Xenopus tropicalis: one gene and its partners. The protein of the gene in region 2 interacts with the protein of the main gene of each other region in a pairwise test. Links are inferred from orthologs where the notes say so. Each region holds a gene or a part of one and is shown on either strand. Other genes may lie near its edges. The genes, in order: rap1b, ralgds, rap1a, krasl and rras2.

What was found.
Region 1: the proteins of ralgds (region 2) and rap1b interact in binary tests that used the Homo sapiens proteins (3 or more experiments, as listed by UniProt). The link is inferred for Xenopus tropicalis from reciprocal best matches to the Homo sapiens genes RALGDS and RAP1B.
Region 3: the proteins of ralgds (region 2) and rap1a interact in a two-hybrid assay, tested with the Homo sapiens proteins (3 studies listed by BioGRID and IntAct). The link is inferred for Xenopus tropicalis from reciprocal best matches to the Homo sapiens genes RALGDS and RAP1A.
Region 4: the proteins of ralgds (region 2) and krasl interact in a two-hybrid assay, tested with the Homo sapiens proteins (3 studies listed by BioGRID and IntAct). The link is inferred for Xenopus tropicalis from reciprocal best matches to the Homo sapiens genes RALGDS and KRAS.
Region 5: the proteins of ralgds (region 2) and rras2 interact in a two-hybrid assay, tested with the Homo sapiens proteins (2 studies listed by BioGRID and IntAct). The link is inferred for Xenopus tropicalis from reciprocal best matches to the Homo sapiens genes RALGDS and RRAS2.

Annotation. Positions count from the first base shown.
Region 1 is NC_030679.2:58,804,215-58,807,729, forward strand, and holds part of rap1b (ras-related protein Rap-1b precursor), read left to right. Parts: intron 1-1,168; coding exon 1,169-1,225; intron 1,226-1,653; coding exon 1,654-1,794; intron 1,795-3,515. UniProt on the Homo sapiens protein: GTP-binding protein that possesses intrinsic GTPase activity. Contributes to the polarizing activity of KRIT1 and CDH5 in the establishment and maintenance of correct endothelial cell polarity and vascular lumen.
Region 2 is NC_030684.2:11,276,281-11,280,519, forward strand, and holds the start of ralgds (ral guanine nucleotide dissociation stimulator), read left to right. Parts: upstream 1-1,431; 5' UTR 1,432-1,580; coding exon 1,581-1,766; intron 1,767-4,239. UniProt on the Homo sapiens protein: Functions as a guanine nucleotide exchange factor (GEF) activating either RalA or RalB GTPases and plays an important role in intracellular transport. Interacts and acts as an effector molecule for R-Ras, H-Ras, K-Ras, and Rap.
Region 3 is NC_030678.2:59,474,172-59,477,686, reverse strand, and holds part of rap1a (ras-related protein Rap-1A), read right to left. Parts: intron 3,028-3,515; 5' UTR 2,995-3,027; coding exon 2,938-2,994; intron 1,919-2,937; coding exon 1,850-1,918; intron 26-1,849; coding exon 1-25. UniProt on the Homo sapiens protein: Counteracts the mitogenic function of Ras, at least partly because it can interact with Ras GAPs and RAF in a competitive manner. Together with ITGB1BP1, regulates KRIT1 localization to microtubules and membranes.
Region 4 is NC_030679.2:2,105,535-2,109,654, forward strand, and holds the start of krasl (GTPase KRas), read right to left. Parts: upstream 2,815-4,120; 5' UTR 2,675-2,814; intron 1-2,674. UniProt on the Homo sapiens protein: Ras proteins bind GDP/GTP and possess intrinsic GTPase activity. Plays an important role in the regulation of cell proliferation.
Region 5 is NC_030680.2:3,481,840-3,485,354, reverse strand, and holds part of rras2 (ras-related protein R-Ras2), read right to left. Parts: coding exon 3,515-3,515; intron 3,397-3,514; coding exon 3,294-3,396; intron 362-3,293; coding exon 253-361; intron 166-252; coding exon 47-165; intron 1-46. UniProt on the Homo sapiens protein: GTP-binding protein with GTPase activity, involved in the regulation of MAPK signaling pathway and thereby controlling multiple cellular processes. Regulates craniofacial development.

The DNA of each region.
Region 1 (3,515 bases), on a different chromosome or scaffold from region 2:
GCCGAGCTTGGTAAATTTCAGTCAGCATTGCCAGTAGTTGGGCAAATACAACAGGCAAGTCATATAGTGACACGCAGGATTATCTGACTTCTGTCTAAGCCATCTCATAACATCCAGAATGGTTCCTTCCTCCTGTGGCTTCATTGTAAATTATTTCTGCCTCGCCCCAATGCAGCATAGTGACTTCTGTTTCCAATTCTTGAAGTGGGTACCTATGTGGATCACAGGGCAACTATTTCCCTGATAGGGCCAAATGACATGATTATATCAGGTATAACTATATTGCTTAGATGTTCATATTCTACTTGATCAGATATTTAATCGCACTGTGTCTTCTAGACCAAAATGTGATTTTGTTCTTTGTTGTGCCTCACATGGAATGTAACTGGCCTTGTGCAAATAGATAGATAGGGGAGCTGAAAATCTTTCTAAAGCAACATGAAAACTATATGTATTTATAAGGCATACATAAGCTCTGGTTTTCTGCCCCTCGCTCACTGCAGAGGGTGAGGCACCTGAAGCCAGTCCTCCCTTTGTGAGATAAGGCCCCCCCACCCTTTGTGGGTCCCACTGGCTAGGTTATATATATATATATATATATATATATATATATATAATATATATATAATTACCATAGTCAGTACTAAGCAGAATCGATCCTGTATTGCCTTTCACTTATGTCACACGTCTCAATAAACTTCTCTTATAAAGCAACATTAACATTACTGTCTCTGGGGTCTGGTTAAAAATCCCTGAAAGTGTAGTTGGGATGTTTTCATGAGGAATTTGTCTGCCACTAACTGGTTTGTCTTGCCACATAGGGAACATAATATCAGATTGTGGGCACACTTCTTTTGCAGTTGCATTTTTATAACACATTTGCAAAATTAAATTTGTTATGTTATACAAAGGAATATTATATAGCAAACGCCATGATCAGCAGTTTTGGTGTGAGTCCATATACTTGAATGTTGTATAGCCGTAAGTGCTTCTGGAATGCAGGTCTCTGATTAGACAACAGAATTTGGTTGCACTGGACATTTAGGCTACATTTTATATAATTAGAGCAGAGAGAGAATATTAACCTAAGAATCAAATTCTATGTCTGTGGCCCTAAGGACAACACTTTGCTGAAATTTTTGTAACACTGTCTTTAACTTTTTTGCAGCAAGTTGAAGTTGATGGGCAACAGTGCATGTTGGAGATCTTGGACACCGCAGGAACGGTATGTTGTATGTAGCAAAAATTTATGTACGCAGAAAGCAAGCCGTGCTGCTTAAAAATAACAGTAGTTTTTATTGGTGCATTATCTGTCTTTATGAAACTGGGCTCTCTGATATCTAGAATCTTTGCTAAAATTAAGCCTGATCCTTAACAGATTTTTATTGCATTTGGCTACCTATCTATGGCAGGTAAGCAGTCAAGTGTTGACTTGATGAGCAAATTGTCAGTGTCCTCTATACCCAAGTTTGCATTAAACATTTTTTACACAACTATAGCCAGTTTTGCCTTGGAGATTACTGAATTTAGCTTACGTCACCTGAACAGCTTATTAAATTGAATAACGCTTTGCTATGTTTTACTCTGCAGGTAGCATGCGTTACCTAACAGATGAGACATTTATACTGTTGTCTTTTTTCTTTCTTATTCCAGGAACAATTCACAGCAATGCGTGATCTGTATATGAAAAATGGACAGGGCTTTGCATTAGTGTACTCTATAACAGCACAGTCCACTTTCAATGACTTGCAGGACCTCAGAGAACAGATCCTCCGAGTAAAAGACACTGATGATGTAAGCATTTTGTAGGAGTACATTAAAAGATGGTTCATTACGGATGTCTGTCATGTATTATTGCAGGTTTCAATGTTAGACTTAAGGTGGCTGTACACAGGCCGATCCTCTTAGGCAGTGATCCCCAGCCAGTGGTTCGTGAGCAACATGTTGCTCCCCAACCCTTTCGATGTTGCTCCCAGTGGCTTCAAAGCAGGTGCTTATTTTTGTATTCCTTGGAGGCAAATTTTGGTTGCATAAACACCAGGTGTAATGCCAAACAGAGACTCCTCTAGGCCGCCACATAGGAGCTACCAGATAGCCAATCACAGCCCTTTTTGGCACGCTCATGAACATTTTTCATGATTGTGTTGCTCTCCAACTCTTTTTACATTTGAGTGTGGCTCACAGGTAAAAAAGGTTGGGGATCCTTGCTCTTAGGTATACAGGTAATCATCCCTGGGGCTGAACAAACAGATATGTAACAAACATATGTCAAACACAGATATCCATAATAGATTGATATTGGTTGGGATTGGTGGGTTGCTATAGAAGTACAGAAAATTGTACAAAACTATTTTTGGGATGTGTGGCTATAAAATGGTTGTGACATGTTTGAGACAAAACTGGCATTTTTTTTCAATTATATCTATGATTGACCAGCACAAAACACTAAAATGCGCAAGTGTCAATCTTTTGAAATAATCTGGTGTTGTTATATACTAATTATCTCTGTCCTTGTTTGTCCACTTTTGCATACATGTGAAACATTTTGCTTTATATCGATTCCTGGCATTAGTCATTATTTTTACTATGTGTATGCATATTTGAGTTACAATACTAAATGCAGAACCACACGTTTTTTTTTTTTAGCTTCAGTCAATACACCCAGCCTGTTTAAATTGAATCTTTTACACAACATTAGATTTTATCTTTTCATCTACCATTATTTATAAAGCTATTTCCGATCAAATAATTATAGCACCCCATCCAAAATAAAATTAAGTTTTGACCTACCATTTTTTTCTTCAGGAGGAATTATTCATGCCTAGGGAATTGTGGCACTGATACACAACAGTTTACGGACAGCCAGGTGTGCCAAGCATGCCAAGACACCAGGAGATAAAGTGCCTATTCCTGCAACCAAAGTTCAGTCAGGCAGTACACTACACTAGTTTTGTAGCCCACATGTATACCAGTGTTTAAATAAATTATCTTTTATAATTATACTTGTTCTTTTAAGCGCTGAGTGAAAACATTTTAAGCATGAGCAACTGTTTAAAAAGAAATACCCTTAGGCCAGGCAGAAACTTTCCTCTGTGTAAGCTATAGCACATTATTTCCTCTTTATGGTCATGTCCGTGAATATATGGCAGAGATCCAAGAAAGCTGCTTTTCATTACCCATGTCCTCTTTATGCTTACTCTAGATTCATACTGAAATATGCATATTTATAGCCAGTGGCAGTATGCGCAACCTGACGCTAGTCATGTTCCACTAAACTACAATCCCACTGTCCCACTGACAGGGCAACTAAACTTCATTTTTCATTACCTGTGGTTTTCATTTTTTATAAAATCAATAACATTTACAATGTAAAACAGCAATGCATTAATTTTTTTTTTTATTATTATTATTTAGGAAAAATATTCCAATAAACATTTACTATGTATATAGTTCTTGAAACATGTTTGTGGCTGCTGGTAGTATCTTACTTTTTATTTTCTATTAAAAATGCATTG
Region 2 (4,239 bases):
CCCAGTGAGCTTACAATCTAAGGTCCCTATCACATTCCCATCAGCCCCTGACTCAGGAGCCAATTAACCTGCCAGGGTTACCCACACAGACACCCACTGGTATTATTAGGAAAATAGACACATTTAAACATTATATAGAGCGCAATATAAATACAGCTCATGGCTGCCTGCGCTTTGATCTGCCAGTCTGTGTTTGGATTGGTCGGGAGCAGCTGATCAGTGCGTGTGTGTGTGCAGTTGGAACAATCCCAAGAGAATCTGAGGTTATTATAAATAAATAGGAGGAAATAGAGGCAAGGAAAATAATCTCACCGCTGGCAGGAAACCTCTGTACCAACCAAACTGCTCCCCCTCCCTCTCCTTGTTATTATTAGTATTACTGGGGAACCCACTTACTAAGCAGGTTCTTTAAAGGGAAAATATACAGTGAGTGACTACATGGAACCCCGTGCCCTGGGTACCCCTGGAACTATAGCGGGGTGACTGTTACCCCAATGTTTCTATATATCTGTAACCTTGTTATGGGCTAAGGGGGCCCAGCCTGAAGGCCAGTTGGGGGGGGATTTGGGGTGAGTGCTTATTTGTGCCCTGGGTACCCCTGGAACTATAGCAGGGTGACTGTTACCCCAATGTTTCTATATATCTGTAACCTTGTTATGGGCTAAGGGGGCCCAGCCTGAAGGCCAGTTAGGGGGGGATTTGGGGTGAGTGCTTATTTGTGCCCTGGGTACCCCTGGAACTATAGCAGGGTGACTGTTACCCCAATGTTTCTATATATCTGTAACCTTGTTATGGGCTAAGGGGGCCCAGCCTGAAGGCCAGTTAGGGGGGGATTTGGGGTGAGTGCTTATTTGTGCCCTGGGTACCCCTGGAACTATAGCAGGGTGACTGTTACCCCAATGTTTCTATATATCTGTAACCTTGTTATGGGCTGAGGGGGCCCAGCCTGAAGGCCAGTTAGGGGGGGATTTGGGGTGAGTGCTTATTTGTGCCCTGGGTACCCCTGGAACTATAGCAGGGTGACTGTTACCCCAATGTTTCTATATATCTGTAACCCCGTTGGGTGAGTTACACCAGAGGAATAGGGGTACCAGTAGTAATGCAGTATTTATATTGCCCAGGATGTAGTTATGCCATATTCAGTCAGTGAAGTCTCACAACACTAATAAGAGACTGCAAGTAAAACAGATAGTGCCCGTATGTTCCAGTCAGGTCAGAGTCACCGAGTCAATTTCACTTTTACACAGCAATAAACAGAAAGGGAAACGGGTAACCCCCCCCCATGTTTAATCCCAATCGATATCCAGACAATTCCCAGGATTACAGCTCTATAGCGGGCTGATCACATGAGATCCAGTCCGGGTTTTCGCCCCGCCTCTCGGTGACGGAGTGGGCGGGCCCCAGAGGCGCAGTGAATGGCAATGAGCGAGTCCCGGAGATCCCACAGCAGAAAGGCGCAGAGCAGCCAGAGAATCCCCTCAGCGGAACGTTCCATTCTGCTCGCCAGTTCGGGGGGCGCTCACACGGATACAGGGGGGCTAAGTCCATGGATATACTGAGCTGATACCCTATTTCTCCCTATGATTTACCTCATGTTGCTGGAGCCCCAACATGACAAGCCATGCACCCCGGAGAAGATGTTTGAGTGCACCGCCAGGAAGATGAGGAGCCTGTGGGATGGGGTCCGGCTGGAAGTGGCCGGGGAAAGCAGCCCGGTGGTACTCAGCAGCTTCACCCAGCTGGACCCGGACCTGCCCCCGCTAGAGGTGAGACCTAAGCCTCCGACTTGTTGCTGCTTTCTGCTCATGTAATCGCTCTAATTGGTTTGTGCAGCAAGGGTTGCTGGGAGTTGTAGTCCAGCAGTAGCAGGGGGGGGGGTATGATTCATGTTTGGATATTGATACAATGTATCCTGTAGGCACAGGAAATCTCCAACTTGTTTGTATTTACACTTCATTGGCAATCAGAGAGTTGTCAAACTATGGCTTCCAGCACTGGGGAGTGATTGCTGCTCTGTATGTGTGGTATATGTACAACCAGCTGGCCTATCGAGTGTAGCAAATGGATCGGCAAGGCAAACGGACATTCTGAATAATGCACTCCTGTATCCATCAGCTTGGGTTTGTAATCCCTGTATATACCCCTCTAATGTGCACCCTGGCCCTAAGCCAATGGCCTATTGAGTGTAGTGGCTGCAGGGAACTGGCTTTTGGCAATGGTTCCTATGGAACTGGTCTATTGAGTGTAGCAAATGGCTACAGGGAAATGCAGTGTTGCTAGTAGTCTTCCTATGGAACTGGTCTATTGAGTGTAGCAAATGGCTACATGGAACTGCCGTGTTGCTAGTAGGCTTCCTATGGAACTGGTCTATTGAGTGTAGCAAATGGCAACCTGGAACTGCCGCTTGCTAGTAGGCTTCCTATGGAACTGGTCTATTGAGTGTAGCAAATGGCTACATGGAACTGCCGTGTTGCTAGTAGGCTTCCTATGGAACTGGTCTATTGAGTGTAGCAAATGGCAACCTGGAACTGCCGCTTGCTAGTAGGCTTCCTATGGAACTGGTCTATTGAGTGTAGCAAATGGCTACAGGGAAATGCAGTGTTGCTAGTAGGCTTCCTATGGAACTGGTCTATTGAGTGTAGCAAATGGCTACATGGAACTGCCGTGTTGCTAGTAGGCTTCCTATGGAACTGGTCTATTGAGTGTAGCAAATGGCTACAGGGAACTGCAGTGTTGCTAGTAGGCTTCCTATGGAACTGGTCTATTGAGTGTAGCAAATGGCAACCTGGAACTGCCGCTTGCTAGTAGGCTTCCTATGGAACTGGTCTATTGAGTGTAGCAAATGGCTACAGGGAACTGCAGTGTTGTTAGTAGGCTTCCTATGGAACTGGTCTATTGAGTGTAGCAAATGGCTACATGGAACTGCCGTGTTGCTAGTAGGCTTCCTATGGAACTGGTCTATTGAGTGTAGCAAATGGCTACAGGGAACTGCCGCGTTGCTAGTAGGCTTCCTATGGAACTGGTCTATTGAGTGTAGCAAATGGCTACATGGAACTGCCGCGTTGCTAGTAGGCTTCCTATGGAACTGGTCTATTGAGTGTAGCAAATGGCTACATGATACGGCTTGCTGGCAGGACATAAAATAGATTTGCTCTGCCATGTTGGCCAGTGGGCTGCTATACGGGCACGCTGGCTGGCACCTGTCAGGGCGCTGCAGGGAAGGGCAATGCCGCGGTGGCGGCAGCAGGAATGTTAATCGCGAGTGGATTATAGTCGGGCTCATACCCCTCCGTCTCTAGGGGCCGTTCTCCTGCTTCTGTGGCCCCCGACTGTAAGAGATTAGCCGAGCAAAGGGCACAGGGAGCAGACGGGAGTGGTGCCAAAGTGCAGAATTACTGGCATATCCATTTCTATTGTAATACTGTGCGGCAGCCTGGCACCCATTAGTGCCCGCTGTACCTGCCCCGGGTGCCCCCCCCCCCGGGGATTCAATATACAATATATTAAGGGGCTTTTTAGCATCTATTTCCCCCTGGCAGAGAGCAAATGACTGCCCACATACGTTAGTAAATATCCATAGGTGCCCAAGAGCCCCACTGCCCCATCCTTCTTATTAGCAGTAATTGGCATCGCTGGGTTCATTTGATCCCTAATTTACATCTGTGGTGGCAAAGTGACCCCCTTTCTTGGCTCTGGCGGAGTATTCATGAGCCAATGAGATCCGAGCACTCACTTTCATTTATTAATTAAGGACTGGAATTGACCAACGCGGGTTCTTTTTTAACCTGAGCTGCTAGGATACTGTGACCATTCCATCAGTGGATTGCACTGGGCTATACTAGAATGATGGAGGGGGGGGATAGACTGAAAGCTTATATATAGAATAGGATCCCTGCAATTACACAATGGGCTCTTCTAAATTACTGTCAAATAATGGGGTCCTGGGTTCAATTCCCGCCAGGGCGCTATCTGCAAAGTGTCAGTTTCTACTGGGACCATAGAGTGTAAACTCCACTGGGGCAGGGGCTGATGGGAATGTGATAGGGACCTTAGATTGTAAGCTCCACTGGGGCAGGGACTGATGGGAATGGGATAGGGACCTTAGATTGTAAGCTCCACTGGGGCAGGGGCTGATGGGAATGTGATAGGGACCTTAGATTGTAAGCTCACTGGGGCAGGGGCTGATGGGAATGTGATAGGGCCCTTAGATTGTAAGCTCACTAGGGCAGGGGCTGATAG
Region 3 (3,515 bases), on a different chromosome or scaffold from region 2:
ATTGCTGTCCTTCCACTTCCACTTGCTGCAATTCAAACAAAATGCATCTTGGTTAATTTCAAACATTATGTAATACAAGACTTCACAACAATAATATTTTTATACTAACTACAAGAAATAAAAAAATTATAAAGATTTTTTTTTTTTATATCTGACCAAATTATGAACAGTCTTGTAAATGCTGCTATTCATGTAGTAGGTCTTTTCATATTTGCTACAGCTTTAAGTGAGTGCATTAACCCTTTGAGTGTCACAAATGGAGAAATCTATATCGCTGTACACCCCACATTCGCACATCAACTTACATCAAACTAAAAAGTGTTTCTTTTTAGTTACAATAGTGTGCATAGCTTTACAGATATTTTTGACAGGGGGCACTATACACCTATGTATACTATAGGAGTTCAAATAACAGGTTAAACATTTTTTAAATTAAGAAATGCACCGGCCTAGAGAAAAACTGACACTAAACTGCAATCTTACTTGGGCAGCAAAATGTAAAATAGCTGTGCAGTGTCAGTTTTTTCCCTTAAATGCACTGATGTAAGGGAAAAACAGCTCTTTAATTTGTTCTTAATGAACACAGGTGTATATTGTTCCTTTTATGTTTGAAAAAGTTGTAGACATTTTTCTACTTGGGTACCTCCTATTACACCATGGCCCATTATTTTAAAGTCATGCATTCAAGTCCAAGGCTATGAAATGAGGCATTCCGACCGTCTGCTTCTAACTGAAAAGCTTGGGAAGAGCTCCGCCTTTGGAAGAAGTTGGCACAGCATTTCCATTGTTTTTTTTTTTTAATCAAAAGCAGTGACAGATTATTTCTGTGTGAAATTACACTATTCATTAAAATTACTTGCATTGAATGACATTTGCATAGTTGCACTGTGTCTGTCCTGCCTCCTATTGTAAATATGGCACATGCACACCTACTGATGTTGGGTTCCCAAAGCAGCTAGCATCAAGAAGCACAATGTATATGCACTAAATCATGTACAGATATTATTTTGACACTGAGCACTACCCCCACAGACTTGTGTTGAAATTACATGGCGAGTACTTGTCATGCTAAAGGTGCCCAAAAATGCATCAGTAGGCTTTTACAGACAGCTGACTTCTGACAGAGAATGACAAAAGGAAGAGGCTGAGGTCGATCAGTATCTACTTAATGTGAATATTTTAGATAAGGACCACTGATCATGCTTAGCTTTGTACTATACAATGAGAAGTAGAAGATATAGGAGGGGCAAGCACAGACTCTCTGGAAAGCCGAGGGACTTCAAGTCCCAGAATTTTATATTTCAACAGGAAGTGGCTGACTCTGCCAGCCTAAGATGCTGGAGTGGGGAAATGGCATCTGTGAGTTGAAGGCTTCCTCTCAGTTTGTGGCCATGTGTCTTTTATTTCCTTTAACACAGAGGTGAACAAGTAAAAGTTGCCATACACTGGCAGCTTTTGACCTTGGAAACTTGTTAGCCCATGTATGGGGCTTACCAACAGCCTACCCGACCAATATCTGGTTGGTTTGATTTTCCTGTCGGTGTGAGGACCACATCCGCATGGAGCTATGTGGATAGAGGCTGGCTATACAATGGACAAATACAAAAGCAAAAATACAATATATAAAAGCAAATAAACTATATACAAAGCAAATAAGCAAATTTGTTACAAAAAACAAACAAACTGTAGAGGTACTGGAAAGTAAATTTAATGTGAATGAGAGGTATGCTTCCTGCTTCTTTAGGTGGAAAATAGGTAATATTTTAAAACTAACAATTTATTTAATGTAAAGTAATAAACACTAATACAGAATATGTAAACATGTTAGTACATTTAAAATAGGTATTACCTTTCTGTATGAATCTTCTATTGTTGGGTCATACTTTTCCACAAAAATACCTTGAACAAACTGGACTGTCTGTAGAGAAATAAAATGTATGAAGAAAATTACACAACAGACATGTTTAACCACATCACCTGCAGCAGCTAAAAATAAACCCCATTAACTGGGGGCGGGGGATATCAGCCATTTATAAAATGCTGGGGGTACAAGCCAAGGAGCATCTCTCTGTGCTGGGCATCTTAGAATTTAATTTTGCCATGAGAGCTTTACTAAACTACACCTTATAGAACAGGTGTTCTGGTGTGAGGACCATGAACATTTCTTGTGGCAAGTACAATCTCTAGATCTGTATTTCAGCCCACTGCTTAAAGTTTTGCAAAACTAAAGTGTGAAGTAATTTCAGCTATGAAATTATTACAACAACCCCTCTTACAAACAACTGGAATTTTTGTCTATTATAGTCTATTCTTTCATCTTTACTTTATTTTACAATACAACACAGGCCGTATCCGAGCTTTTATTAAAAGGTAAATATTGTGTAAAAACGAGAATGTGCCAGTGCATTATACTTGTCTAAATACTGAAGAAATGTGCTTTAAAAAATGTGTGTTTCCTGCTTTTTCTGGATGTGCAGGGGGACCGGCAGCACTCAGCACTGTAGGATAGGAATCAGCAGGTAAGTGGACCTGATAGGGAACTTAAGCCTGTATTGTGTGACTGCAGAGCTGTGATTGGCTATCCTCCTCCTATAGCTCTTTTGGCAGGGACCATTAGAACACGCCCAACTCCTTATATGAAACATCACAGGGATGTAGCAGATCTATAGAAACTCCAATAAAGGGTTCGTTTTTAAGGAAAATGATCATTTTAAGCCCAGAGTGAAATCAGCACCATATATTATTCATTACTGCCTACAAGTTTAGGGTGGATTTTCATTTAAGCTATACGTCTCGTTAATAATAGGCTACATCAAACCATGATAGATATTAACCTATTCCCCTTTAAAGAGTAATTATTTTTATATGGGCTAATTGGCTGTATTATGTAAGTTAATTATGACATGGCCAAATATACATATGGAAAGCTCAACTTACCAAAGCAGACTTTCCAACACCTCCAGAACCAAGGACCACGAGCTTGTACTCGCGCATGATGGGATTATTTTTGTTTCACAATAGTGTAGTCTAGAGATGAAAAAACAATGTATTTAGTTTTAGTATTTTAGGAGCTTACAGCACGTACAGTAAAAGTCTAACATTTTGTGAGAAAAAAAAAAAAACAACCACCCTTCTGCTCTAGAGGATTTTAATGTGTTGCTTAGACAAACAGAGCGGCTTTCACTGCAAAAATCCTTGGTCACGTGCATGTCTGACATCCATTCCATGTATTAGCACCTAGGCTGACAGTGCCTGTGGGTACAGACGAAGGGCAGCCAGAGGAATCAGCTCCATGTGGAACTAGCCTTAGCTTTGAAACCTCTTATTGGACCCAGATTAATGTAACTTTGATAAATAAGTATACTTTAAAGCTGCAAAGTAGTTGAAAATAGATGAAGTTCCACTTGTTTCCTTCACCATTTCACAAAATAACTCCTTATGAAACAGAAGTCCTGTGTTGATAGCTGGATTTTTTTTTTTTAACAACTGACTGTACAAGGAGGAAAAAAGGGACC
Region 4 (4,120 bases), on a different chromosome or scaffold from region 2:
GGGCAGGACTGCTGCTTACAATGGGGGGGGGGATCAGATAGGATCTGTGCCACTGTGACAGAATGCTCTGTTATACAGATAGCTAGAATCTCAGCCATAAAGCAGGGCAGGACTGCTGCTTACAATGGGAGGGATCAGATAGGATCTGTGCCACTGTGACAGAATGCTCTGTTATACAGATAGCTAGAATCTCAGCCATAAAGCAGGGCAGGACTGCTGCTTACAATGGGGGGATCAGATAGGATCTGTGCCACTGTGACAGAATGTTCTGTTATACAGATAGCTAGAATCTCAGCCATAAAGCAGGGCAGGACTGCTGCTTACAATGGGGGGATCAGATAGGATCTGTGCCACTGTGACAGAATGCTCTGTTATACAGATAGCTAGAATCTCAGCCATAAAGCAGGGCAGGACTGCTGCTTACAATGGGGGGATCAGATAGGATCTGTGCCACTGTGACAGAATGCTCTGTTATACAGATAGCTAGAATCTCAGCCATAAAGCAGGGCAGGACTGCTGCTTACAATGGGGGGATCAGATAGGATCTGTGCCACTGTGACAGAATGCTCTGTTATACAGATAGCTAGAATCTCAGCCATAAAGCAGGGCAGGACTGCTGCTTACAATGGGGGGATCAGATAGGATCTGTGCCACTGTGACAGAATGCTCTGTTATACAGATAGCTAGAATCTCAGCCATAAAGCAGGGCAGGACTGCTGCTTACAATGGGGGGGATCAGATAGGATCTGTGCCACTGTGACAGAATGCTCTGTTATACAGATAGCTAGAATCTCAGCCATAAAGCAGGGCAGGACTGCTGCTTACAATGGGGGATCAGATAGGATCTGTGCCACTGTGACAGAATGCTCTGTTATACAGATAGCTAGAATCTCAGCCATAAAGCAGGGCAGGACTGCTGCTTACAATGGGGGGATCAGATAGGATCTGTGCCACTGTGACAGAATGCTCTGTTATACAGATAGCTAGAATCTCAGCCATAAAGCAGGGCAGGACTGCTGCTTACAATGGGGGGATCAGATAGGATATCTGCCCTCTGGTACAGAATAGTAGGCAATTAATTTACCCCTCTGCTTTAGTTCAGTGGCAATTTCAGGCCCTTCGTCCTCCATGTATTAAGGGCCACAGATGAAGTCATGTGACCCCCAGTAGAAACAGAGGGGGATATGTAACCCGTCCCCCATTTCTCTATACAGAACATTACTGATGCCCCTATACCGACAAACTAGGGGTATTTACCCTTTTAGCACCTTAAATATTAAAGTCCTATTCTTGTGGTTGGGGGGGGGGGGGGGGGACTAGGAGTCAAAAATAGGCCCAAAGAACTGCAGGGGGCATTCCCTAGAGACCCTGTAAAGAAGTATAACGGACAAAGACAACACATCCTGGGGGGGGGGGGGGGTAATTGTGGTCCCAGGGAATTACCCCTAAACGCAGTACCCCAATAAGCTGAAAAAAGAGACAAATGGGGCACAAGTAGACAGAGACCAATCAAAGCAGGGGGGCAGAATGGGAGAGAGAGGAATAAAGCCCCAAGGGGGGCAGAATGGGAGAGAGAGGAATAAAGCCCCAAGGGGGGCAGAATGGGAGAGAGAGGAATAAAGCCCCAAGGGGGGCAGAATGGGAGAGAGAGGAATAAAGCCCCAAGGGGGGCAGAATGGGAGAGAGAGGAATAAAGCCCCAAGAGGGGCAGAATGGGAGAGAGAGGAATAAAGCCCCAAGAGGGGCAGAATGGGAGAGAGAGGAATAAAGCCCCAAGAGGGGCAGAATGGGAGAGAGAGGAATAAAGCCCCAAGAGGGGCAGAATGGGAGAAAGAGGAAAGCCACAGGGGTAGGGGGCAGAATGGGAGAAAGGAATAAACCCCTGGGGGGGCAGAATGGGAGAAAGGAATAAACCCCTCGGGGGGCAGAATGGGAGAAAGGAATAAACCCCTCGGGGGGCAGAATGGGAGAAAGGAATAAACCCCTCGGGGGGCAGAATGGGAGAAAGGAATAAACCCCTCGGGGGGCAGAATGGGAGAAAGGATGAACCCCTGGGGGGCAGAATGGGAGAAAGGAATAAACCCCTGGGGGGCAGAATGGGAGAAAGGAATAAACCCCTGGGGGGCAGAATGGGAGAAAGGAATAAACCCCTGGGGGGCAGAATGGGAGAAAGGAATAAACCCCTGGGGGGCAGAATGGGGATCCCCTTGGGATCAGTGGGTAAAGCAAGGGAAGGCAGGGGGGGTAGGAAGAAAGGGACCAGCAGCCACTTGCCCCAAGGGGTACAATACAGAGAGAACAGATCAGGAGGCAGTAATACCCCTGGTGGGGTAAATATAGGGGATCGCTAGGGGCAGGAATAAAGGGCCCAAAGCAACTACCGGCCGGGGGTAAATATAGCAGTTACACCCATGGGCCCAGGAAGGATGAGTAGTTACCCGCAAGGGGCAGATAGAGAGAATCAGAAGCCAATTAGCCCCACGGTGGGGTAGCTGAGGGGGATCAGGAGATCCTTATACCCCGGGGTGGGGGGCAAATTGTAACCGGCCAGTTACCCAGAGAGAAGGCCAAATACCAGCCCCCGGCTGCAGTTAACCCCCAAGGCTTAGTACCCACATACCCCCCGCTGGGGTAACTAGCCAGGCATTGTACCCCCCGGGCCGCACTCACTCACCGGTATGCTGGCGGCTGGGGCTCACGGCTGCATGCTTCCCCCTGGGGATGGGGCCCGGGCTGGAGCAGAGAGAGAAGGCGGCGCTGCCGGTCCCGCACACACAGGCCTGGGCCGGAGACTCCCAGGGGCTCTTTAAATACGAGCTATAAATACAACGGGGATTCGCCGGTGACGTCAGAGCGATTTGGCCTCCCTCATTGGCTGAAGGCGGAATGCAAATGAAAGCGCCCCGCCCCGAACGCTAGGCTACTCCCCGATGGTACCGCCCCCCTGGTGTGACGTACGGGCCGAGGGGCGTGGTGTCCTGGTTACTATTGAGTAAAGGGCAAGTAAGCCTGATAATTCGTCTGCAGGAAATGCCATGACGTAACGCTCAGATCTTTAACCCTGAGAGCAGTGAAGCTGCCATACTGTCTGTCCGTGTGTGTGAAAACTTGTAATTGTCTATCATTTAATCAAGTACTGAAAGAGAGAAAGTGGCGGATAAAGTAGTAAATACTATTTTCCCTATTCATTTGGAAGCAGGGTGGTAAACTGCAGAGAAAATACTCATTTGCAATTGGTCTTCATTTTTTATTATTTGTAGTTTTTTAATTATTTCAATTCTTGTTCGGCAGCTCTCCCGTTCCACTGCTATCTGGCTGCTAGGGCTCCAATTACCTTAGCAACCAGGGAGTGGTATGAATGAGAGACAGGAATATGAATAGGGGAGGGGCTGAATAGAAAGATAAGGAATAAAAAGTAACAGTAACAATAAAACTGGAGCCTCACAGAGCAATAGGGTTTGGTTGCTAGGGTCCAAGTTACCCTAGCAACCAGCGAGTGGTATGAATGAGAGACTGGAATATGAATAGGGGAGGGGCCGAATAGAAAGATAAGGAATAAAAAGTAACAATAACAATAAAACTGGAGCCTCACAGAACAATAGGTTTTGGCTGCCGGGGTCAGTTATCCTGTTGCTAGGGTCCAAATTACCTTGGCAACCAGGGATGAGAGACTGGTATATGAATAGGGGAGGGGCTGAATAGAAAGATAAGGAATAAAAAGTAACAATAACAATAAAACTGGAGCCTCACAGAGCAATAGGGTTTGGCTGCCGGGGTCAGTGACCCCCATTTGAAAGCTGCAAAGAGTCACAGAATTCAAAAATTATAAGAAATAAATAATGAAGACCAACTGAAAAGTTGCTAAGAATAGACCTTTGAGTTAACTTATGATGTAGAGAGTGATATTCTGAGACAATTTGCAATTGGTCTTCATTTTTTATTATTTGTAGTTTTTAATTATTTTACATTTTGTTCAGCGGCTCTCCAGTTTGGAATTTTAGCAGCTATCTGGTTGCTAGGGTCCAAATTACCTTAGAAACCGGGGACTTGCTAAGGTAGAGTTGCAATGAGAGACAGGAATATGAATAGGAGAGGGGCTGAATAGAAAGATAAGGAATAA
Region 5 (3,515 bases), on a different chromosome or scaffold from region 2:
CCCTACCCATATGTATAACACACAGAGTAAAGATGGCGCCACTCACCTTACAACTCTAACAAGTTCATGAAATGCTTGGTCTACATTCATTCTGATTTTGGCCGAAGCCTCCATGTAGGTGACTTTCAGCTGCCGCGCCAACTGCTGCCCCTCCTCCCGCGTTACCTGGAACATCCCAAAAGATGAGTTTAATCACAGCCAACACCTCCTCTATCATTTACCCCCACTGCCCCCCCCGCCATAACTACTTACCTGCCTCTGGTGCTCCAAGTCAGCCTTGTTACCAACCAGAATCATGGGAAATTCATCCCGGTCCTTTACCCGCAGGATCTGTCTTTGGAATTTGTAGATTTCTTCAAAACTACAAAAAAAAAAATTAGAAACAGAATAAAAATTCCCTCCCCCTCTCACTCCTGCACCCTAGTATCCCCTCCCCTCTCACTCCTGCACCCTACTATCCCCTCCCCTCTCACTCCTGCACCCTAGTATCCCCTCCCCTCTCACTCCTGCACCCTACTATCCCCTCCCCTCTCACTCCTGCACCCTAGTATCCCCTCCCCTCTCACTCCTGCACCCTAGTATCCCCTCCCCTGTCACTCCTGCACCCTACCCCCCCCCCCTACTATCCCCTCCCCTCTCACTCCTGCACCCTAGTATCCCCTCCCCTCTCACTCCTGCACCCTAGTATCCCCTCCCCTCTCACTCCTGCACCCTAGTATCCCCTCCCTCTCACTCCTGCACCCTAGTATCCCCTCCCCTCTCACTCCTGCACCCTACTATCCCCTCCCCTCTCACTCCTGCACCCTAGTATCCCCTCCCCTCTCACTCCTGCACCCTAGTATCCCCTCCCCTCTCACTCCTGCACCCTACTATCCCCTCCCCTCTCACTCCTGCACCCTAGTATCCCCTCCCCTCTCACTCCTGCACCCTAGTATCCCCTCCCCTCTCACTCCTGCACCCTAGTATCCCCTCCCCTCTCACTCCTGCACCCTAGTATCCCCTCCCCTCTCACTCCTGCACCCTAGTATCCCCTCCCCTCTCACTCCTGCACCCTAGTATCCCCTCCCTCTCACTCCTGCACCCTAGTATCCCCTCCCCTCTCACTCCTGCACCCTAGTATCCCCTCCCTCTCACTCCTGCACCCTAGTATCCCCTCCCCTCTCACTCCTGCACCCTAGTATCCCCTCCCCTCTCACTCCTGCACCCCAGTATCCCCTCCCCTCTCACTCCTGCACCCCAGTATCCCCTCTCACTCCTGCACCCCAGTATCCCCTCCCCTCTCACTCCTGCACCCAGTATCCCCTCCCCTCTCACTCCTGCACCCTAGTATCCCCTCCCCTCTCACTCCTGCACCCTAGTATCCCCTCCCCTCTCACTCCTGCACCCTAGTATCCCCTCCCCTCTCACTCCTGCACCCTAGTATCCCCTCCCCTCTCACTCCTGCACCCTAGTATCCCCTCCCCTCTCACTCCTGCACCCTAGTATCCCCTCCCCTCTCACTCCTGCACCCTAGTATCCCCTCCCCTCTCACTCCTGCACCCCAGTATCCCCTCCCCTCTCACTCCTGCACCCCAGTATCCCCTCTCACTCCTGCACCCCAGTATCCCCTCCCCTCTCACTCCTGCACCCCAGTATCCCCTCCCCTCTCACTCCTGCACCCTAGTATCCCCTCCCCTCTCACTCCTGCACCCTAGTATCCCCTCCCCTCTCACTCCTGCACCCTACTATCCCCTCCCCTCTCACTCCTGCACCCTAGTATCCCCTCCCCTCTCACTCCTGCACCCTACTATCCCCTCCCCTCTCACTCCTGCACCCTACTATCCCCTCCCCTCTCACTCCTGCACCCTAGTATCCCCTCCCCTCTCACTCCTGCACCCTAGTATCCCCTCCCCTCTCACTCCTGCACCCTACTATCCCCTCCCCTCTCACTCCTGCACCCTACTATCCCCTCCCCTCTCACTCCTGCACCCTACTATCCCCTCCCCTCTCACTCCTGCACCCTAGTATCCCCTCCCCTCTCACTCCTGCACCCTACTATCCCCTCCCCTCTCACTCCTGCACCCTAGTATCCCCTCCCCTCTCACTCCTGCACCCTAGTATCCCCTCCCCTCTCACTCCTGCACCCTACTATCCCCTCCCCTCTCACTCCTGCACCCTACTATCCCCTCCCCTCTCACTCCTGCACCCTACTATCCCCTCCCCTCTCACTCCTGCACCCTACTATCCCCTCCCCTCTCACTCCTGCACCCTAGTATCCCCTCCCCTCTCACTCCTGCACCCTAGTATCCCCTCCCCTCTCACTCCTGCACCCTAGTATCCCCTCCCCTCTCACTCCTGCACCCTACTATCCCCTCCCCTCTCACTCCTGCACCTAGTATCCCCTCCCCTCTCACTCCTGCACCCTAGTATCCCCTCCCCTCTCACTCCTGCACCCTACTATCCCCTCCCCTCTCACTCCTGCACCCTACTATCCCCTCCCCTCTCACTCCTGCACCCTACTATCCCCTCCCCTCTCACTCCTGCACCCTACTATCCCCTCCCCTCTCACTCCTGCACCCTAGTATCCCCTCCCCTCTCACTCCTGCACCCTACTATCCCCTCCCCTCTCACTCCTGCACCCTAGTATCCCCTCCCCTCTCACTCCTGCACCCTAGTATCCCCTCCCCTCTCACTCCTGCACCCTACTATCCCCTCCCCTCTCACTCCTGCACCCTACTATCCCCTCCCCTCTCACTCCTGCACCCTACTATCCCCTCCCCTCTCACTCCTGCACCCTACTATCCCCTCCCCTCTCACTCCTGCACCCTAGTATCCCCTCCCCTCTCACTCCTGCACCCTAGTATCCCCTCCCCTCTCACTCCTGCACCCTACTATCCCCTCCCCTCTCACTCCTGCACCCTACTATCCCCTCCCCTCTCACTCCTGCACCCTACTATCCCCTCCCCTCTCACTCCTGCACCCTACTATCCCCTCCCCTCTCACTCCTGCACCCTAGTATCCCCTCCCCTCTCACTCCTGCACCCTACTATCCCCTCCCCTCTCACTCCTGCACCCTAGTATCCCCTCCCCTCTCACTCCTGCACCCTAGTATCCCCTCCCCTCTCACTCCTGCACCCTAGTATCCCCTCCCCTCTCACTCCTGCACCCTAGTATCCCCTTCCCATTTTATTCCTGCTCATACACTTCTGTATCCCAAGACCCACCATGGATGTGTAGGGATGTAGCACCCTCAGAACCTGTACAAGACCCAGGAAGCAGCAACTGAAAGAATAACGAGGTGCAATCTGTCTCACCTTCCCCTGTCTGTGACCGAAAATACCAGCAGGAACCCCTCTCCTGTCCTCATGTACTGCTCCCTCATTGCCCCGAACTCCTCCTGCCCCGCAGTGTCCAGAACTGGAAAAGAACAAAGGAGATGGTACATAAATATCCCAGCATCCTCTGCAAACCCATCCCTGCCCCTCTACTGGGGCTGCCACAGACAGTACAGCAGGGGGGCGTAGCTTATACTCACT